Struthio camelus: one gene and its partner. The protein of the gene in region 1 purifies or fractionates together with the protein of each later gene. This does not show direct contact. Links are inferred from orthologs where the notes say so. Each region holds a gene or a part of one and is shown in the gene's direction. Other genes may lie near its edges.

Region 1 (9,452 bases):
GAAACCCCCAAGGTTTCTCTCTCCACCTTTGCAAGATTCTTACTTGCTGGAAAAACTAGAGAATGTAGCATTACTAAATGGCCCAGCTGCCAGTGGGGGGGAAAGTCCCTGCTTAATTTCAATCGCTAGTGTGCTCCCAGATCATTTTTTCCTTGTCAGGTGCTTCCACTCTGCTTGCAACCGAAGAAGGGGCTGTACTGACAGGTAACAACACTACTCATAATGCTAAAGGGAAAGTTGTACAAGCTCTGCTTCTCTTCTCTTCCCCCACCCCTAGCCTCTTCTTTCCTATGTGAAACACGAACGCTAGCAAGCTTTGCTGCATCAAGAAACAAGCATCAGCTTAAGGAATAAGCATTGCATATTGCATGCTTTAACAAAACTTCCATGTGAGAAATAGGAATGACACTAGAGAAAACTTGTCTTCCAAGCAGCAGCCATTTTCAAATGAACTGAGCTATGTTTACTCTTAAGGCATAACAATAAAAGCAGTTTAAATTTATATGATACATCTCATCCCTAAGGATCTCCAGAAATGCAACAAATTTATATATAAACAGCCCACAGTTCACTCAGAGAAATGCAGATCTTCCCTGGGACACAACACATGAATTTAAGAGATGCCAGAAATAAGCTTCAGTCTAAAAATAAAAACAAAGGAGACCATAGTAGTAGCTGCAAATCTGGGTAGAAGTAATGCAACAAACCTCACCAGGCTCTGGCCAGGACACCCGCGTTAACTCCGTTTCTGTATCTGTGGAATATACATAGGATTTTAAATCCCGTAATCTGGACCTTAGCTTTATATGCCAAAAGGTCCCTCCAGCACTGTTTGCTTGGATATTATGTCAGCCTGAATAAGCCAGAGAAATACTGTGACTAACATACTATTTGAAGCACCTGTCACATGGCCACCTCTGATCAAAATGCGTGACGAGATAGGTGCAGAGGCCACAGCGTGTGTAAAACCCAGAAGCTCCCATCTAGGCTGACAAAAATGAACTTTGGTTAAGATTTCCATGACCTCATTTGGCCATTTTTTTTTATTGCTTCAAGTTAGTAACAGCCAAATTATTATTAGAAAGCAGGAGGATATTTTCCTGTTCTCGCTGTTTAACACTAGAGTCCAGCAAATTGTTTGAATCTGACAGCTGCCCAGTTCTCATCTCTGTAGCAGCTCTAGATGGGAGGCTGAAATGTGCCAATTTTAGTTGCAAAATGTTATCTGAATGACAATGTGAGGTGTTCTCTGGCTTCCGTTGCCCTAGCAAGGTCCTTAATTTTTTGGAGCAGTGAAACGGAGCCCTGTTCCAAAGAGCATACGGGTCAGGTAAGAGGTAGCTACACCACATGTATGCATCCAGATTGCCAGACTGAGAGCAGAAGAAATGCACTTTTACACAACTCTTTTGCTTTGCTTATGGTTTCAGCAGCCTGGGCCAAGGTCCTGCTGAATGTTGTGAACTACTTTTCCTGTTATGTTTACTGCTAAACTTGCATCGTCCTCGAGATTAAATGGGAGGAAATAGTTAATAGGTATCTGCAGCAGCCATCAGAGAAGGACGAAGTTGAGGAACCAACGCTGGTAATCAACAGCACCACAGCAACAGCACTAGACAGCTCTCATGATTAGTGTGGCAATCAGGAAATTACAGCTTAATGTGTTTGCTTGAGAAAGCAGCACGAGAATCTTTCCTGTACTTTAAAAACTGATTAAAATCCTACTGCCCCTTTTCAGTATTCAGGCACGCAAGGCTGCTTTTCAAAACCCTGCCAGCTGCGTGCTGCAAGTCAGAATAAAAACAAACACGTCGTTCCTGCAGCCCAACAGCACTGCAAATGGAGCGGTCAAGACACCCAGAGCGGAGGAGACTTTTGCAAAATCCAGGCTTTAGGTATCAGGCGCAAAATCACTTTGCGTGGTTGCAGCCTTTTACCTTGTCAAAGAGCTGTTTAGGCAGCCACTTGGTCTTGCAATGCCCTCCGTACTACGGTGCCCGTGTAACAAAGAACCACACCAGTTTGGACCCTGCAAGACGTCCAAGACACCCCTGCAGACGTCCTTTTCTGAACAAGATGAAACCGCTCCTTTGGTCATGCCGGTGTGGAGACCACTAACACAGTCTCACATAAAAAATGCAGAGAACCTCAGTCTCCTCTCAAGCTGATGAGCATAAGAAGCGCTGCTGCAAAATTTATACATTCACAGCGGAGTATCAGGCCAGAATAAACAAGAGGACCATCAGGCCTCCAGTTTGACAAAAACGACCGCAGTGTTCATAAAGTTTTGCTCCGTTTCAGGAGGGCTAAATTTGATCCTGGGGTTTCATGCGCTGCCCTCTGTCCCCGGGACGAACGCCTGGCCCCATCCCCTGGCAGCCCCCCCAAGTAACACCAGGCAACAGGCTGCATATGAAAGCAGATTTGAGACAGACGGTACATGACCAAAAGGGGAAAAAATGTGTATCCAAAAGCTGAGTTTGTTCCTTCCTTGTATTTTTATTTGTATTTTTATTCACTCATGCTGACTGTGTAGAAAATTGCATAGAATAATTCAGAATGTGTTAATTTGCAAAAAAAAGGACAGGTATTTCAGCAGCATAAAAGCAGTGTCCGTGGCCCTCTTCACAGTTTCAAAACCTTTCTTTTGTATTGCCTTCCACCAGCTCATTCCATCCCGTTCCGCAAATAGTGTAAAACAACATTGTTAGCTGTGAGAAGTCACAGAAAAGATAACTTTTTTTTTTTTTAACATGCATTCCCTCTGCCCTTGCACCCACAGGTTGTCTGTTACTGTCCACATGGGCTGGAGTTGTTTTTTGACCCGCGCTTGAAGGCTGCCTAACACCCTGGGGTGCTGGCCCACGTCTGGGTGCACTGAAAGCTACTTGTACCACCGAGGATGTCATTTTTCTCAGTATGAAGAAAACCAGTCTGCACGGCTGCTGCACCGGGGACGGCCCAGCAGCCGCAGCGGGGCCGGGCAGCAGAGCGGGACCTGCGCCTGGCTGCAGCCAGTGCTGTTTTTGGGGGCAGGAGGCAGGCTAATCTTGGCACGACTTTCCACAGAGAAGTCATTTTCCATCTCCTTTCTGTCCCCTCCAGCTGGCTGACGTAGCACTGCGTGCAGAGGTACACAGAGATAAGAGCATCGAAACACGCGTGCCCCCAAAAAGAGGTTTCTGCTGGCAAACGCTCTCCAAAAATAGCCCCGAGTCCGCCTGTGACAGCAGCTGGAGGTCAGCAATGGAAGGAGGCGCCGAGGGGCTTGTTCGGCTGAACTCGGGCTCCAGCCACCTCAGTGAGGAGGGGGAGTTTTCAAATTTAATTTCTATGTGGCTCCAGCAAAACTCTGACTGAAGGCAGCTTCATTCTCGCTGCACTTTAGTCCCCGATCGTTAGATAGTAGATAGAAGGCACTTGCTTTCAAACCCCAGTCTTCACTTTTTGCACAGAAGCAGGTCGGAGAGTCATTTGTTAAGTAAATTTCCCTTGCCGATTTACATTAAGAAGGGGAAACTTTTTCCAGAAAGTCATGACACTTTCATAACCCTTAACCTATAAAAGAAAGAGCTGTATAGCTTTTCTAAACCTGCCCCAAAACCACCAGTGGATTATCCCAGGCCTAATGGTGAATAATGAACAAAAGTCCAGGAAGGGTACAGCTGGGCTGCAGCTTGGGAACATCTGCTCACAGCAAGCCAGCCGTTCTCCTCTGGCGCCCCCTTTCATCTTTGGATTTTCTCACCAATTTTTTTTCAAAGGGATACCATCCCATGGGAAAACTGCAAAAGAAAAAATCTCAGACAATATTAGTCAGTGAGGCCGGCAATAGTTGCAAGGGATGAAAAATTCTTAATGGGAATCCCCCACATCTGAGAAGCAGCAGCAAAATTCACCAGGGAAAAAATCACCACTGCCAGTCCAGCAGACAAGGTCTTTTATCCATGTGGGAGCCTGCGTTTACCCAGCGTTTTCATTACCCGTGGCTGGTGTGACATCAGTAGAGACGATCAAAGAAGAGTAGTTAGAAATGGGTGCAGGGGGAATAATGCCAGGAGATGCTATTTCTTCCTTTAAAAGGTGCGTTCATTTACTGGTACGTGTCTTTTGAAAGAAGCCTGTTTGACGAGAACTGGATGTACAGGCACGGAGCACAGCTCTGTTATTCCTGATCCTGTTGCGCGGAAGCTAAGCGGATACTTACCACCAGCTGCAAGGTGCGGAAGCCTTTACACGCCGCATGCGAGGCAGCACAAGCTACGCGACACCAGCCCGCCCGCCGGCACGGCCGGGCTCTAAGACGCGGTGGCGCGCAGCACTATCTCAACCTCCCCAACAACTGCTGCGCCAAGAAGTTAGCGCCATCACGACACCGTCACGTTTTAGGACGGGCGGCCAGCACCGCGCTGCCCTCTCCCGGACCCCAGGCCGCGCCGGTGCCGCCCCAGGGCCCGGCGGGGAGGGCAGGGAAAGCCCCAGGGCAGCTCTGGCCGGGGCAGTCACCCGAGGCGCAGCAGGGAAGCACCGCAGGAGCGGGGTTAGTCACCCAGGCGGCCCAGTACTTCCCCGGCCGTGGAAAAACGCCAAGTTCCCGCTGCAGTAGAGGCCGGGCGGGCGCAGGGAATTCCTCCGCGCCGCCTCAGCCCGGCCCCCTCCCCTCCCCTCCCCTCGCCGGCCCGGCCCGGCCCACCCGCCCGCGGCGCCCAGCAGGACCAGACTCGTCCGTCGGCCCTTTGAGTGGCTGGAAATTCCCGGCCGCGGCGGCTCCTCCCCCGCAGAAATCCCCTCCGCCCGGTGTATATGCGGCGCGCCGCCGCCGCCGCCGCTCACTCGTAGAGGCCCGCCCGCCCGTCGCGCTGCCGCCAGCAGCAGCAGCAGCAGCAGCAATAGTAGTAGTAATAGCAGCAGCAGCAGCCGCCGCCGCCAGCAGCAATAGCAGTAGTAGTAGTAGTAATAGCAGCAGCAGCAGCAGCAGCCGCCGCCGCTGCAGCGCCGGCACCAACCGCCGCCCTCGGAGCCGCGGCGCGGAGGCGCCCCCCGCCCGCCCGCCCGCCCTCCTCCCGCCGCCCCGCCGCCGCCATGATCAGCGCCCCCCGCCCCGCCGAGCTGGCGGCCATGGAGGGCCGCGAGGCGCTGCGGAAGGAGCGCCCGGCGGGGCCGCTGCAGGACGACCGCCACGACAGCGGGCTGGACTCCATGAAGGACGAGGAGTACTGCCAGCTGGTGAAGGAGCTGCAGGACATCCGGCTCCAGCCCCGCGAGGCCCCGGCCTGGCCGCAGGGCGACCCGCCGCCGCACGCCTGGGCCCAGCAGCTCACCGAGGACGGAGACACGTAAGTCGCTGGGGGGCGGCGGCGGCGGCGGGAGGGGGGGGCCCGGCCGGGAGGCGCCGGGCGGGCCGGGAGGCGCCGCGCCGGGGCAGGGCCGGGGCCGCGGAAAGTCCCTGGAGAGGCGCCAGGAACAAGGCGGCTCCCGGCGGCGCCGCGGAAAGCCCCGGCCGCCCAAAAGCCCCCGGTTTCGCCACGCGGCACATGACGGGCGGGCGGGCGGCGCGGCCCGCTCGTCACCGCTGCTCCTGCGCGGGGGGGTTCTCATTCTTCTCTTTTTGGGGTGGTTTCCTTCCTGCAGCTTCCTCCACTTGGCGATTATTCACGTAGAGAAAGCCCTGAGCCTGGAGGTGATCCGGCAGACGGCCGGCGACCCGGCCTTCCTCAACTTCCAGAACAACCTCAGCCAGGTACTGGTCTGCGCCTGCCACCACCGCCCCGCTGAAAAGGCTCTTTATTTTTTTTCATGGATATGAAATCAAAGCCTGCGCTCAGAAAGGCACCCAGCCGACTCCAGTCAGTGTTAGTGTGACGCTTCCTCTCACCAGCACTGGCATTTAATGCCTGCGTTTTTTAAATGTGATGCAGTGGGTCACAGCCCTCTTCATTGTCACGTTGGTGATACCCTTCATATGACTGTTTGATATCTGGAGAGCTCAGAGTTCATCGCTTCCAGACAAGAAAGCAACTGTGCGATATATCAGGAAGCATAGCAATACCCTGTGTTTAGGGGGTTTGGTTTTAATTGGGCAGAAATCACCAACTGATGGAGGGTCTGCTTGTGCAGACGCTGCTGCTGCTGCTGTGTGCCATGTTTGTAGTGTCACTTACCACCCTGCGGTTTCCCTTTTGTCTGCAGACTCCGCTTCACCTGGCTGTTATCACTGATCAACCTGAAATTGCTGAGAATCTTCTGAAGGCCGGATGTGACCCAGAAATTAGAGACTTCCGAGGAAACACACCGCTCCATATTGCCTGTGAGCAGGGCTCCCTCAGAAGCGTCAGCGTCCTCACGCAGTACTGCCAGCAGCACCACCTCCTCCCTGTCCTACAGGCAACCAACTACAATGGTACGCACAGCCTGCTGCACCAAAATGCCAGTATGCTGTATTGAGGACAGGGTTCTTGTCCTGTAGATCTCAAAGACCTCTGGAAGGGTGGAAAAGGTTGAGGAAGCCAAAGTACATAGCAGGGTCCGATTTCCTTGGTTCGCTTATAGGCCTCCTTACTGATGATCATTGGCTGCCATAACTTTAAGCTCTGTGTTATTAATGACTACTTTTGCAAAATTTAATTAACTCTGAATATTTTATTTTGAGTGTTTCTATTTTTTGTTACAATAATTTGGAGTCAAACACTGAAATAAAGATAAGGCCTCTAAGAAGTCTTTCCAGAAATCTTTCCAAAAATCTTTCCCTGTTGCCCATACGTATTGGAAGTTGGAAGACTTTCTTGGAAAACACCTTTTTGCCCTGGATAAATTGCAATTATTCTGTCCTCCTGACTTTAAGTGAAAGATAACACATTAGATAAGAATTACTCAAATTTTGTCTTACTTTGCATTTTACAGGACACACATGTCTCCATTTGGCATCTATTCAAGGGTATCTGGCTGTTGTTGAATATTTGCTGTCCTTAGGAGCAGATGTAAATGCTCAGGTATGTAATTTATCTATGAATTTAGCTGAACAGGGTTGTGTGGTCATACGAATCAGCAGTTCTGACATGGGCAAGCCTGGCTCTCCTAACACGAAACATCTTGGGTTATTTTCATACAGGAGCCATGCAATGGCAGAACTGCACTACACTTGGCTGTAGACCTGCAGAATTCAGACCTGGTGTCACTTCTGGTGAAACATGGGGCAGATGTGAATAAAGTGACCTACCAGGGCTATTCCCCGTATCAGCTCACGTGGGGAAGAGAGAACTCCAGCATACAGGAACAGCTGAAGGAGTTGACCACAGCTGACCTGCGACTGTTGCCAGAAAGCGAGGACGAGGAGAGCAGTGAATCGGAATCTGAATTCACAGAAGATGAAGTAAGTAGCTATTTGCACCTTTTCATAGGAAGGGCCAAATTCTGCCCTTTCATACGTTTAAGTTGTATTTTTTGTTGGTGCCCTCATTACATATGGGTGACCTCTTACCTATATAACATACAAGTATAAATATCCCCATAAAGTAAGGTTACAATGTCAAGCGTTGGAAGTAGGGCATTTGGGCCAACGTATGAATAGAATGAACGTAAGAATAAAACATTAAAAAACCTTAGGGAATGGAGATTAATTTCGCAGAGCATGATTCTCTGAACATTGTCCTGTTGCTGATACTGACAGAACCTTGTGACATAAAGTTTCAGTTAATTTCTCCTCCCCACAATTTATTTTTCTAACATTCTCCATGCTGTAAATTGCAAATGATAGCAAATGTAACCATTGCTGTGTAGAAATTTCACACGCTACTGAAGTGAGGGCAAGCAGAATTTAGCTGAGTAGATATGATACTCGCAGTAAGAGTTTTGCATTAACAGCATTTTGGGATTTTTTTTTTTTTTTCTCCTTATAGCTTATGTATGACGACTGCCTTATTGGAGGACGACAGTTGGCATTTTAAAGCAGAGGTTTCTGTGAAAGGAAGTGACTGTGTACATATGTATAGGAAAAGGACTGGCATTCTTCATTTAAAAAAAAAAAAAAACTGTGGAAAAAAAGTACAGAAATACTACACTGCCCAGCAAGAAGCACTTAATTGTAACAGCAAGGTTCCACGTTCTGTCCTGTGTTTACATGACAGGAGTGTGATATGTAACATCACTAGAAATCTGTGATTATTAACACGACTTGATAAGGAACCCCATATCCAAAATTATTAACAGTATGAAGAAAACAAGGCTAGAGATCCAGCATACTATTTAGAGAAATGCATTCAAGAGCTGTCTGTAGATGTTTAATACTACGAGGAATACTTGTCCACCCATGACAAGATGGGCTCATATAAGCGTCCCATCTTCTTGGAAATTGTTTCTTAGAGTTCTGTTGGGCTGGTGATACTTCACCTTATTGACTGACCTCAGCTGCTCTGTGGGGTATAGCAGACAGAGGATCAACCAAAGGAATGACCTCTTGGCTGTTATGAGAGAGGTAGCAGTCGTGTTAACTGTGGGCATTGGAAACGATGTGTTTCACACAATGTGTGTCATAATTGCTATACTTTTTAGCAATTGTATAGCTTGTAAATACTGTATATTTTGTTTATAATTATTTTGGTACATGTGAGATGTATTTATTAAAAAAAAGTCAAATTACTGTGTCTGGTCTGTGAAATGATTCATTGTCCACCTCGTCCTGAGCTATGTGGGATCCACGTGGTTAGTTTTAAGAAACAGTTAACACCTAGTAGACCTGTAGGCTTAGATGCTCTTGGGGTTTTAGGTGGTTCACTTCAGTAGGAATAAGGTGTCTGTATAGCTTTGGGCTCTCCGCCGTTCCCCTGCAGCTAATTTTAGAAATACATGTAGGTGTAATTTCCTGTGCCCTTTGTCACGGGCAGGGAGGGGGCTGGGATTCCCCCTCTGTCACAAGTGTCAGACTGCTTAGCCTATAGAAAGATCTGTGACACTATTTAGTAGCAACCTCCTGCCTCCCTGGTACCCCCTGTTCCTGGCCCTGTGGCCCCATGCTGCCGCAAGAAAGGGCCACAGAGCCACCCGGGTGCTACCGCACAGCGGGGGAAGCCCAGTGCCTTCTTACCGTGACTTGCGTGGGGTGTTCGGAGGTTTGCAGAGCGGTCCCATGCCTGGCTTCTCTCTCATTTATCACAGAGCCCCGCTCCAGTTTGAACTTGGACAAACAACAGATTTTCCGAAGGGGATTTCCACAGGAAGAGGGGAGTGCAGGCCATGGAACAAGTGCTGCCTTCTTCCACCCCTGAAATTCAGGCATTGGGCCTCCCCCCTCTCCTCCCAGCTGCAAGAGTGACAACTCTCATTGTCCAGTCTGCAGTGGTGGACTAAATTACCTTAACCTATTTAATTATTTCTGGGTGTTTTCCCAAGCTTTAACGCAAACAAAATAATTTCACTCAAATTTCCATCTGTATCTGATCATCTTTTGGCATTGTGTT
Region 2 (9,633 bases), on another chromosome or scaffold:
AAGCCCAGTTTTCAGGTGGAAGACTGGAGATGCGCTGAATTCAGTCAGGATTTCACTCGTGAAAACTGTCTTGTTGCGCTGGGTCAGAGCTTTTGAGAAAGTCTGAGCGCAAGGGTTTAAACAGAAAGCCCTGAGCTGTCAGAGCCGAGAAGATGCACCAAGCAAGTCTCCCTGCACACTTCTCGCTGACCTGGAGGAAACGCACAGAGCCCAGCACCAAGTCCACACTGCCGGCTCTCCTGCAAACTCACCCAGGTTAATAGATCCAAAGAGTTAACTGTCTTGTTCCCTCCCGGCTACGTACCACGCGGGACTGCCAAAGTATCCCGCTCAAACAGTCACAACAAGGCCTGCAGCCAGCTCAACATGACTGTATAGAGAGTTTATCTTCTAGAACAACCTAGAGCATTACTGGTTGTACAGGGAAGGTTTGGGAGCCTATTTCTTCTTCAAAAGACAGGGGTTTCAAAAACCAGAGCAGACACGAGGCATGATGTTCGTACACTGAAAGCAAAACATCACCCACTCCCCGTCGGAGCAGCCCACTCCGGGTTAGGCGATGGGACTGCTCTCCACCTACCAGCAAGCGTGATTTTTTCCCTCGCGCCTCCTAGCCCCTTCTCTGCCCTTCAACCACAACACAGGGAACGACTTCAAGCGCCTCCGCTGCGAAAGCTCTTTGTTCGCCGCGATCGCTACGCGATGAGATGATTTAGTGCTCTCTCCTGGCCACGCGACTCTGGTTTTCCTGGCCAGCAGACAGGCCACAGGGTCACGCTTGCTGTGCAGGAGAGCTCTTCTAGCCATTCAGAGGGATTCGCCAAGGGAAATGACACTTTGGAGAGGAACAAATCTGCCCTCGGTGAGACAGAAACAAAAAGACAGACCGACTTCCCTCCCAGGAGAAGCGCAGCTTCTCAGGACACTTCAGAGAAGCACAAGGGAAGGCAGTGCACTGAACGAGGGTGGACGCACGGAGACTTTGCGCGTGAAAGAGCGGAAGTGTAAAGGAGTCACAGCTTTCATGATTCTCAACCCCTTCATCAGCCCCTGATGTAGCAGGTCCAAGACCCAAGAGCACGTCCACAGCAGGTCTGTCGGCTCCAGCATCCAGAATTCCTCACCGCAACGCGGACAAGGCTGGGAAGAACCACTCTGCCTCCTGATAAGAACACAGATTTGGATTGTAAGCGTCCAAATACGCAGCGCTGGCTCCCAGCAGGCATCACGAGGCAGGCACTATGGCAAGAACTGCCGAGAAGCCTTCAGTGAGGGCAGCGATGCAGCCGAGCCACCTGATCTGCCTTCATCCTAGGAAAAGCATCCCTGCAGTGCCCGAGTCTGAGAGAAGAGATGGGACAAGGCAAACCCTGGCTGTCCCTGCTTACACTCACAGAGTTCCTCGTTTTCACGGGACTGGAGAGATGCAGAGAGCGGTGCAGCCAAATATGGAGGTACAGTCTTGCGAGCACCCTCAAGATCCCACCGCTCCCCATGGGGCCAGCTGGGTTTGGGCTGCTGAGATCAGCCTCTAAGCCAAACTGCAGCCGGAGGGAAGGCTGGGTTGCAGCTTCACAGGGCCAAAGGAGGGCCCCAAAACCCCACACGAGACGCGTGGGCTGTTCTGCCATCGCAGCGTCAGGTGGGAAAGCTCAGCGCTACCTGGGGCATTGCTGACAGGGTTGGCAGGGTTTTACGGTGGCTCAGCAGCAGCCTGCCATCCTTGAGTGATCTTTTCTCTCCATACGGGTCCACACGGGTTCACCAAGGCTCCGGATGAGCCCTGAAGAGGAGCTGCCAGTCTGCCAGGGAGGCGAGGTCAGTCAAAAAAGCCCTGCCTGAGGCAGTCCAAAGTCCATCCAGCAGTTTGGGTTGAAGAAAGGCATCCGAGGTGTTGGAGAACTGAGTCACAAACATGTCCGAGGCAGCTCATCCACTCCAGCCCCATGCGGGAGCTCAGTTCAGCCCAGAAAACTCTCCCAAGCAGAAGTTCATTAGGGCCTTCAGGCTAGAAATCTGTGAGGGCAATGAGTCCCATGAACTGTTGCATCACCCTGGGACCATCCAGATGCATTTTTAACAGCTGGTTTTACTCCTGGGGCTTCATTTTGCCCCCTACTACCTGTTTAGTACTCCCAAACCACAGCTCCTTTACTTTCCTTAGCCATCCTACAGCCCAAGATCTCTGCAAGAGCATACAACGCGGTGTTTTAAAACAGCCTGCTCCAGCTGTACAAACCTGGCCACAACCAGAAACACCCCGGGCTCCTCTTTCCCCACCTGAGGAAATCTGCTTTGCACCAGAGACCAAGCTGAAGCAGGCGAGACCATCGGCACCCCCCGGGGAAGTGCAGCGCCCCTAGGACATGGACGGCAGGGCCTTTCGCCTGCTTGGCGGCGCCGCCGCTCAGCCAAAGGAGCATTTGAAGGGCTCTGCGCCACAACCTGGACTTTGGATCCCTCTCGACAAGTCATAGAGGACACCGACGCCTCCTCGGAGGAGAACAGGAAGCACACTCAGCCTGTTCAAGCAGCTGCTCCTGCCTGCGATGAACCAATCTCTGAACTTCTACGTTTATCTCAGCCACAGAAGAACAGCTCGAGGCTATAAAAGCTGCAAAGTAGCTCAAGATCCCGGAGTTCAGGCAAAGCCCTGCGCCGGTCGGGCGTGTAGCCCCGTGGGTTACGGGCCCTGCGTCAGCACCTCGGGGCGCTCTCGCCAGCCAGCGACGGTCACACGTCACACCTGAGCCACCCTCACGGTCATGAGGCCCCACTGGCAGGGGCTTGCCAAGGCTGCTTGGATCAGAGGCAGCTTGCCAGGGACCCTGGCGTCCGGGGAAAAGGAGGGGGGAGCTACCAGGCTTTTCTCCCTCTCTGACATGAGCCCAGGAACCTGAGGGATCCTCAGTACCTTCCTCTCATCTACGAGGGACCCCAGGGTCCACTCAGATGTGAGCGGGCCAGGTCGCTGTGCCCCTGCACCAGGAACCCTGCTGTCCGAGGGATTTTGGAGATGGGTGGCAGCACCTCTCCTGGGACCCCACAGCCTAGGGGTATCAGGGAGGAGGAGATGCACTCCTTCCCCTTCAGGGATCCCCAGAGAGACGTACAACAGGACGTGACGGGATGAGGAAGTACCCCAGCACCCAACGGCAGAGCGGAGCAGGGGACACAGCGGGATGGGACACAACCCCCAGTGCCCCGTCACACACTGGGGAAGGACACAGTGGGACAGGGCACGACCCCCAGCACCCTGCCACACCACTGGGGGGGGGGGACACGAGGGGACAGGGCACGACCCCCAGCACCCTGCCACACCACTGGGGGGGGGGGGTCACGAGGGGACAGGGCACGACCCCCAGCACCCTGCCACACCACTGGGGGGGAACACGAGGGGACAGGGCACGACCCCCAGCACCCTGCCACACCACTGGGGGGGGGGGGGACACGAGGGGACAGGGCACGACCCCCAGCACCCTGCCACACCACTGGGGGGGGGGGGACACGAGGGGACAGGGCACGACCCCCAGCACCCTGCCACACCACTGGGGGGGGGGGACACGAGGGGACAGGGCACGACCCCCAGCACCCTGCCACACCACTGGGGGGGGGACACGAGGGGACAGGGCACGACCCCCAGCACCCTGCCACACCACTGGGGGGGGGGGACACGAGGGGACAGGGCACGACCCCCAGCACCCTGCCACACCACTGGGGGGGGGGGTCACGAGGGGACAGGGCACGACCCCCAGCACCCTGCCACACCACTGGGGGGGAACACGAGGGGACAGGGCACGACCCCCAGCACCCTGCCACACCACTGGGGGGGGGGGGGGACACGAGGGGACAGGGCACGACCCCCAGCACCCTGCCACACCACTGGGGGGGGGGGACACGAGGGGACAGGGCACGACCCCCAGCACCCTGCCACACCACTGGGGGGGGGGGACACGAGGGGACAGGGCACGACCCCCAGCACCCTGCCACACCACTGGGGGGGGGGGACACGAGGGGACAGGGCACGACCCCCAGCACCCTGCCACACCACTGGGGGGGGGGGGACACGAGGGGACAGGGCACGACCCCCAGCACCCTGCCACACCACTGGGGGGGGGGGACACGAGGGGACAGGGCACGACCCCCAGCACCCTGCCACACCACTGGGGGGGGGGGACACGAGGGGACAGGGCACGACCCCCAGCACCCTGCCACACCACTGGGGGGGGGGGGACACGAGGGGACAGGGCACGACCCCCAGCACCCTGCCACACCACGGGGGGGGGGGGCGGGCACAACCCCCGTTGCCCGCTGACCCCGGGGGGAAGGACACGGCGGGGCAGCTCCCGACCCCCGGGGCACGACGGGGGGAGGGGGGGGGCCCAGTCCTGTTGCCCCCCCCCTCCCCGGTAGGCCCGGGCGCCGGTGGTGCCAGGGCTGCGGGCGGGGACCCGCGGCTCACCGGAACAAGACGCCTTTGATGACCTGCCAGGCGTTGGGCGCCGGCTGCTGCCGCTGCGTCTCGGCCGCCGCCGCCGCTTCGCCGCCGCCGCCACCGGCGCTCCCGTTACTGGTCACCTGCTGAAGGGAAGCAAAGAGGGCGGACGAGGCCGTCAAACGCGCCCCACCGCTTCCCCCGGGGCCGCTCCCGACCCGGCCGGGGCCGCCCCTACCTGCTCCGGGCCCGGCCCGGGCCCCGCCGCCGCCGCCGCCGCCGCCGCCTCCGTCTCCGGCGCCGCCATCTTGCTGCGCCGCTACTCGCGCGGCTCTCGCGAGAGGGGACGAGCGGGCGCGAGCTGGCGGGGCGCCGCGTCACGTGACGGCGGGCGGAGCCGGGGCGGGGCTACGAGCTGGGGGCGGGGCTACGAGCTGGGGGCGGGGCTACGAGCTGGGGGCGGGGCGCCGGTAACGTTACCGGGAGTTTCTCAGGGGTCCCGTGCGGGGGGGGGGGGAGGTGAGCGGACCGGACCGGGAAGCTCCCAAGGGAAGTCGGCACGGTTCTCGGGGCGGTGACTCGGAGGGTGCTGGAAGAGGTTCCCGGGAGGCTGCCGGGGGATCCCGGTAGGGGTCCCGCAGACGGTCACCGGGAGGCTGCCGGGGGCCCGGGCAGGGGTCTGCAGGGGGGTGACCGGGAGGCTCCCGGGGGCCCTAGAAGGGGTAACCGGGAGGCTGCCGGGAGGCTGCCAGGGGATCCCGGTAGGGGTCCCGCAGACGGTCACCGAGAGGCTGCCGGGGGGCCCGGGCAGGGGTCTGCAGGGGGGTGACCGGGAGGCTCCCGGGGGCCCTAGAAGGGGTAACCGGGAGGTAACCGGGAGGCTGCCGAGGGCCCGGGCAGGGGTCTGCAGGGGGGTGACCGGGGAGCTCCCGGGGGTAACCGGGAGGTAACCGGGATGGCTCCCGGCGGCCTGGGCCGGTGCCCCCATATGCTGCCAGGCCCGGGCAGGGCTCCCGCTGCCCCCGTGGCCAGGCCCGACCCGCTCCGCTGCCGGTGGAGGCGCCGCCCGCGCGGGGTTTCCCGGCCCGCCCCGCGGCGATGACCTCAGCGGGCGCAGCCAATGGCGGCGCCGCCCGCGCGGGGTTTCCCGGCCCGCCCCGCGGCGATGACCTCAGCGGGGGCAGCCAATGGCGGCGCCGCCCGCGCGGGGATTTCCAGCTCCGGCGGCCGCGCGGCCTCGGCCTGCGGCGGCGGCGGCGGCGGCGACGGCGGCGGCGGCCGGGGGGGCGGCGGCGGCGGCGGCGGCGGGGGCGGCACCACCACCACTACCGGCGGGATATGGCCTTGCCGCTCGGTGAGCGCGGGGCCCCCGCTGCCTGCCGCGGGGGGCAGGGCCCGCTGCTGGGGGCGGGCCCGGGGCCTGGCCGGGTTGGGGGAGGGGGGGGGTCGGTTGCCTTTTGTTGGAGGAGGGGGGGGGTACGGTCCTGGGGGACCCTCCCCGGTCCCCGTTTTGGGGGGAGGCAGGTCCCTGCTGGCGGTGGGGTGGGGTGTGATCTCGGCCCCCCCCCTTCTCCCGGTGCCTGTACTAGGGGTTTGGCGGGGGGGGCAGGGTTCTGGGGACCCCCCCCCCCGGTCCTTGTGATGGGGGGGGGGATTCGGGTGCTTGCTGGGGGAGGATGTGATCCTGGGACCTCCCCCCCCCCCCCGAAGTTCCTGTCTGGAGAGATTTTGGGGGGAGCAAATCCCTGTTGGAGGGGGGTGACGTTCCCCCCCCCCCAGTCTCTGTTGTGGGAGATTTGGGGGGGTGCAGAGTGCTCGGGGAGGGGCACAGTCCTGGGGACTTCCTGATTGCTGGGCTTGGGGGAGGCAGATCCATAATGGGAGGGGAGACATGATCTTGGGGACCCCCCAGTCCATGTCCTGGGAGATTTGAGGGGGAGGGCAGAGCACTTAGTGGGGGGCACAGTCCTGGGGAACCCCTGATCCCTGCTCTTGGGGGGGGGGAAACAGATCCCTCCTTGCTGGGGGGGGGGACACGATATTGGGATCCCTTCCACCCCAAATCCCTGTCATGGGAGGTTTTGGGGGGAATAAATCCTTACTGGGGGGCACAGTTCTGGGGACCCCCCCCAATGCCTGCACTGGGGTTTTTTTGGGGGTACCCCCATTCCCCACCCTGGGGGGAGCTGTCACCCTTGAGACCCCCCTGGTCCTGTCGGGGGGGGGGGTCCTGATCCCAGAGGTGCCCCTCCCCAAGTCCCTGCCCTTGGCTGGCAGGAGGCCGAGGTCCCCTGTGCCGTTAGGTGGGGCTGAGAGGGTGCACCCTGGGGTGACAGCGCCGGTGTCCCCGCAGGAGCTGCCCTCCAGGATCCCAGCTTGGCCATGGCGCACGCCGCACCTGTGGCTGGTAAGAACCCCCCCCATTCCCCCTCCCTGTGGTGCTCGGGGTGGCGGGGCCCAGGCGTCCGGGCTTGGCGGGGGAGAGCCGTGCCTCCTTGGGTGCGAGTTGGGGCAGGGGGGTGCGGGAGGAAGCCTCAATTTTTTCTTTTTCTTTTTTTCCCCTTCCTTTTTGCAGACGATTTAGGTGAGTGGACCGTGGAGGGGGGTCGGTAGGCGCAGCCCCGTGTGTTGGCAGGACCTCGGCCAGAGCAGCATCTCGGAGCTTCGGGTGGTAAAACCGGAGATCTCCGACAAGGGGGTCCCTGCGTGCACCTGAAGCAGCTGGATCCATCCTTTTCCGGGGCACCACGAGCAGGAGTTCAGGGTGCAGAGCTGTGTCCGGTCGAGCGAGCTGCCCCCGCGGCCGCCGTCCCGGAGCGTCAAGGATCGAGGGGATCGAGGGGAAAAGACTGAGTAACACCCACGGGGATGCGACGGGCAGGAGGGTTGGGGCATCTTGTCCCCTAGCTGTGGCCGCTCTGTCCCAAGCGTGGCGGAGGAGATGTTTGTGGGTGGCAACGGGGCAGGATCTGGCCAGTCCGTCCATCATGTGGCGGATGGGAGTTGTCGGGGCTGGGTATTGAGGGATTTGTGGCGGGCTCGGGCACGTTATTCCCTCCTCGTCCCTCAGAGATCATTGAGGAGCTCATCAAGGAGGACGGTTTCCAGCCAGATCCGGCCCCCGCCTTGCCCAAGCTGTTGTCCAAAAGCTCGGCCAAGCTGGTGGCCCGTGGCTCCAGCCCGACGGTGGCCACCCGGCCGCTGCGCCCCGTTGAGCCCTGCCCGGCGACGGCCGGGCTGGCACCCTATGGGACCCCGCACGGCCCTGGGGCCCCGCTGCTGCCCGCCGACACGCGTTCGCCGCAGCTCGCCCAGAACCTCAGCACCCTCTCGCTGTCGCCCAAGCTGGTGCCGCGGGGCACGGCGGGCCCCGGCGGGCGGCACCGCTGGTCTCTGGGCAAGGACCAGCTGGAGGAGCTGCTGGAGCCGCCCAAGCTGGTGATCACGGAGCAGCCCAAGCAGCGGGGCATGCGTTTCCGCTACGAGTGCGAGGGCCGCTCGGCCGGCAGCATCCTGGGCGAGAGCAGCACTGATGCCAGTAAGACCCTGCCGGCTATTGAGGTGAGCTTCGGAGGCAGCCTGGGGCGCGTGGCTCCCTGCTTGCTCGGAGGTGGGGACCGTGAGGTCCTACGGGTGCTGGGGGCCAGAGTCCTGGGATGTCTGGAGCCTCATGGGTGCTGGGGGAGCGTTGAAGCCCTGTGGGTGCCATGGGGTGTGGAATCCCCATCAGTGCCAGAGCCAGGTGGGTGCTGGGGAGGTGCTGAAGCTCCACTGATGCTATTGCCCCATGGCTGCCAGGGACTCAGAGCCCCATGGGTGCCAGAGGGCTGCTGGAGTCCCTTAGGTGCTTAGTGCCCCTCCATGTCTCTGGGTGCCCGTCCCTGCTCAGAGGGTCTCCTGTGTCAGAGTAGCAGGGATGTGCTGACAGCTCATGTCTCCCTGGGGTAGTTGGGTGCTGGGGAGGGTGCTAGAGCCCCCCGCAGGGGTGCTGAAGCCTTGTGATTATCACGGAGCTGGAGCCCCATGGGTGCTGGGGGTGGTGCTGAGATCGCAGAAGGTGCCGGAGCCCCACGGATGCTGGGATGCCCGTATTCCTGGTGCCCCCCCCCCCCCCGCGTCGGTTTAGCCGGTGCAGCGCCCACAGCTCGTGTCCCACCAGCTGCTGAACTGCCACGCGATCCCTGAGGTGAAGGTGACGGCATGCCTGGTGTGGAAGGACTGGCCCTACCGCGTCCACCCCCATGGCCTCGTGGGCAAGGACTGCAGCAACGGGCTCTGCGAGGTCGTCCTCAAACCCCAGACCAACCCCAAGCACAGGTACGGCTGCGCTGTGACACTGGGATGAGTCCTGTGGCCTGCAGGGAGCTGTGCCAGGCTGGTGCGGGGAGCAGAGATATCCCCCACCCACCCCAGGACCCTGGCGTCAATTCGCAGAGGTGCTGTGCTGAAGCTGGTGACGACTAGTTGTCTGCATTCCCTAGGAGGGACGTGGGGTCTCGGAGGTGGAGCAGGGGGGTGGGATGCCTGGAGGTTGGAGCGTACTGGAGGTCGAGCTGTGCCCTGTTGTCTGCCCGTGGCTTTGGGGGCGCCCAGGCACCGATGTGTTCCTCGGTGGTCGTTTAACTGCCGTCCCTGGGTGCAAGCGATGCCTGTTTTGGAGATGATGGAGCCACGGTGGTCCGTGCAGGGCCTTGTCTTCTGGGAACGGACACGCTGGGGAACTGCCCAGCCCCCTGAGACAAAGCTGAGAGGAGCAAGGTGCCTGGGTGCCCTCAGGTTCTGCAGGGGGGAGCTGCCTCTCCAGCACGCCTCTGCTCCCCCGGCAGCTTTAGCAACCTTGGTATCCAGTGTGTGAAAAAAAAGGAGATCGAGATGGCGATAGAGAAGAAGCTGCAGCTGGGCATCGACCCCTTCAAAGGTGAGTGGCTTGAGCAGAAGCATTTCTTGGGGGCCTGGGACCCCCGCTCCTGGGCAGCAGCTGATTTTTGCCTTCTTCTCTGCCCCAGCTGGGTCCCTCAAGAACCACCAGGAGGTAGACATGAACGTGGTGAGGATCTGCTTCCAGGCCTCCTACCAGGACAGCGCTGGGCAGATGCAGCACCTCAGCCCTGTGCTCTCGGAGCCCATCTTTGACAAGAGTATGTGGAGGAAGAGAGGCTTTGGGTCACTGGCGGGGGGCTCAGCCAGGCCCCTGGTAC

What was found. Proteins that work in one complex are often made in the same cells at the same time.
Region 2: the proteins of NFKBIA (region 1) and RELB purify together in Homo sapiens (affinity purification with mass spectrometry; 4 studies listed by BioGRID and IntAct, counting the BioPlex papers as one, with this or other methods). This does not show direct contact. The link is inferred for Struthio camelus from reciprocal best matches to the Homo sapiens genes NFKBIA and RELB.

The regions. Positions count from the first base shown.
Region 1 is NC_090946.1:55,424,792-55,434,243, reverse strand, and holds NFKBIA (NF-kappa-B inhibitor alpha), read left to right. Parts: upstream 1-5,046; 5' UTR 5,047-5,082; coding exon 5,083-5,336; intron 5,337-5,631; coding exon 5,632-5,740; intron 5,741-6,189; coding exon 6,190-6,400; intron 6,401-6,900; coding exon 6,901-6,989; intron 6,990-7,108; coding exon 7,109-7,369; intron 7,370-7,895; coding exon 7,896-7,943; 3' UTR 7,944-8,635; downstream 8,636-9,452. UniProt on the Homo sapiens protein: Inhibits the activity of dimeric NF-kappa-B/REL complexes by trapping REL (RELA/p65 and NFKB1/p50) dimers in the cytoplasm by masking their nuclear localization signals.
Region 2 is NC_090957.1:1,342,595-1,352,227, reverse strand, and holds the start of RELB (transcription factor RelB), read left to right. Parts: upstream 1-5,698; 5' UTR 5,699-5,773; coding exon 5,774-5,789; intron 5,790-6,788; coding exon 6,789-6,842; intron 6,843-7,010; coding exon 7,011-7,019; intron 7,020-7,505; coding exon 7,506-7,996; intron 7,997-8,594; coding exon 8,595-8,752; intron 8,753-9,261; coding exon 9,262-9,353; intron 9,354-9,441; coding exon 9,442-9,573; intron 9,574-9,633. Other genes in the region: putative lipid scramblase CLPTM1, read right to left, coding at 4,463-4,581, 4,674-4,742.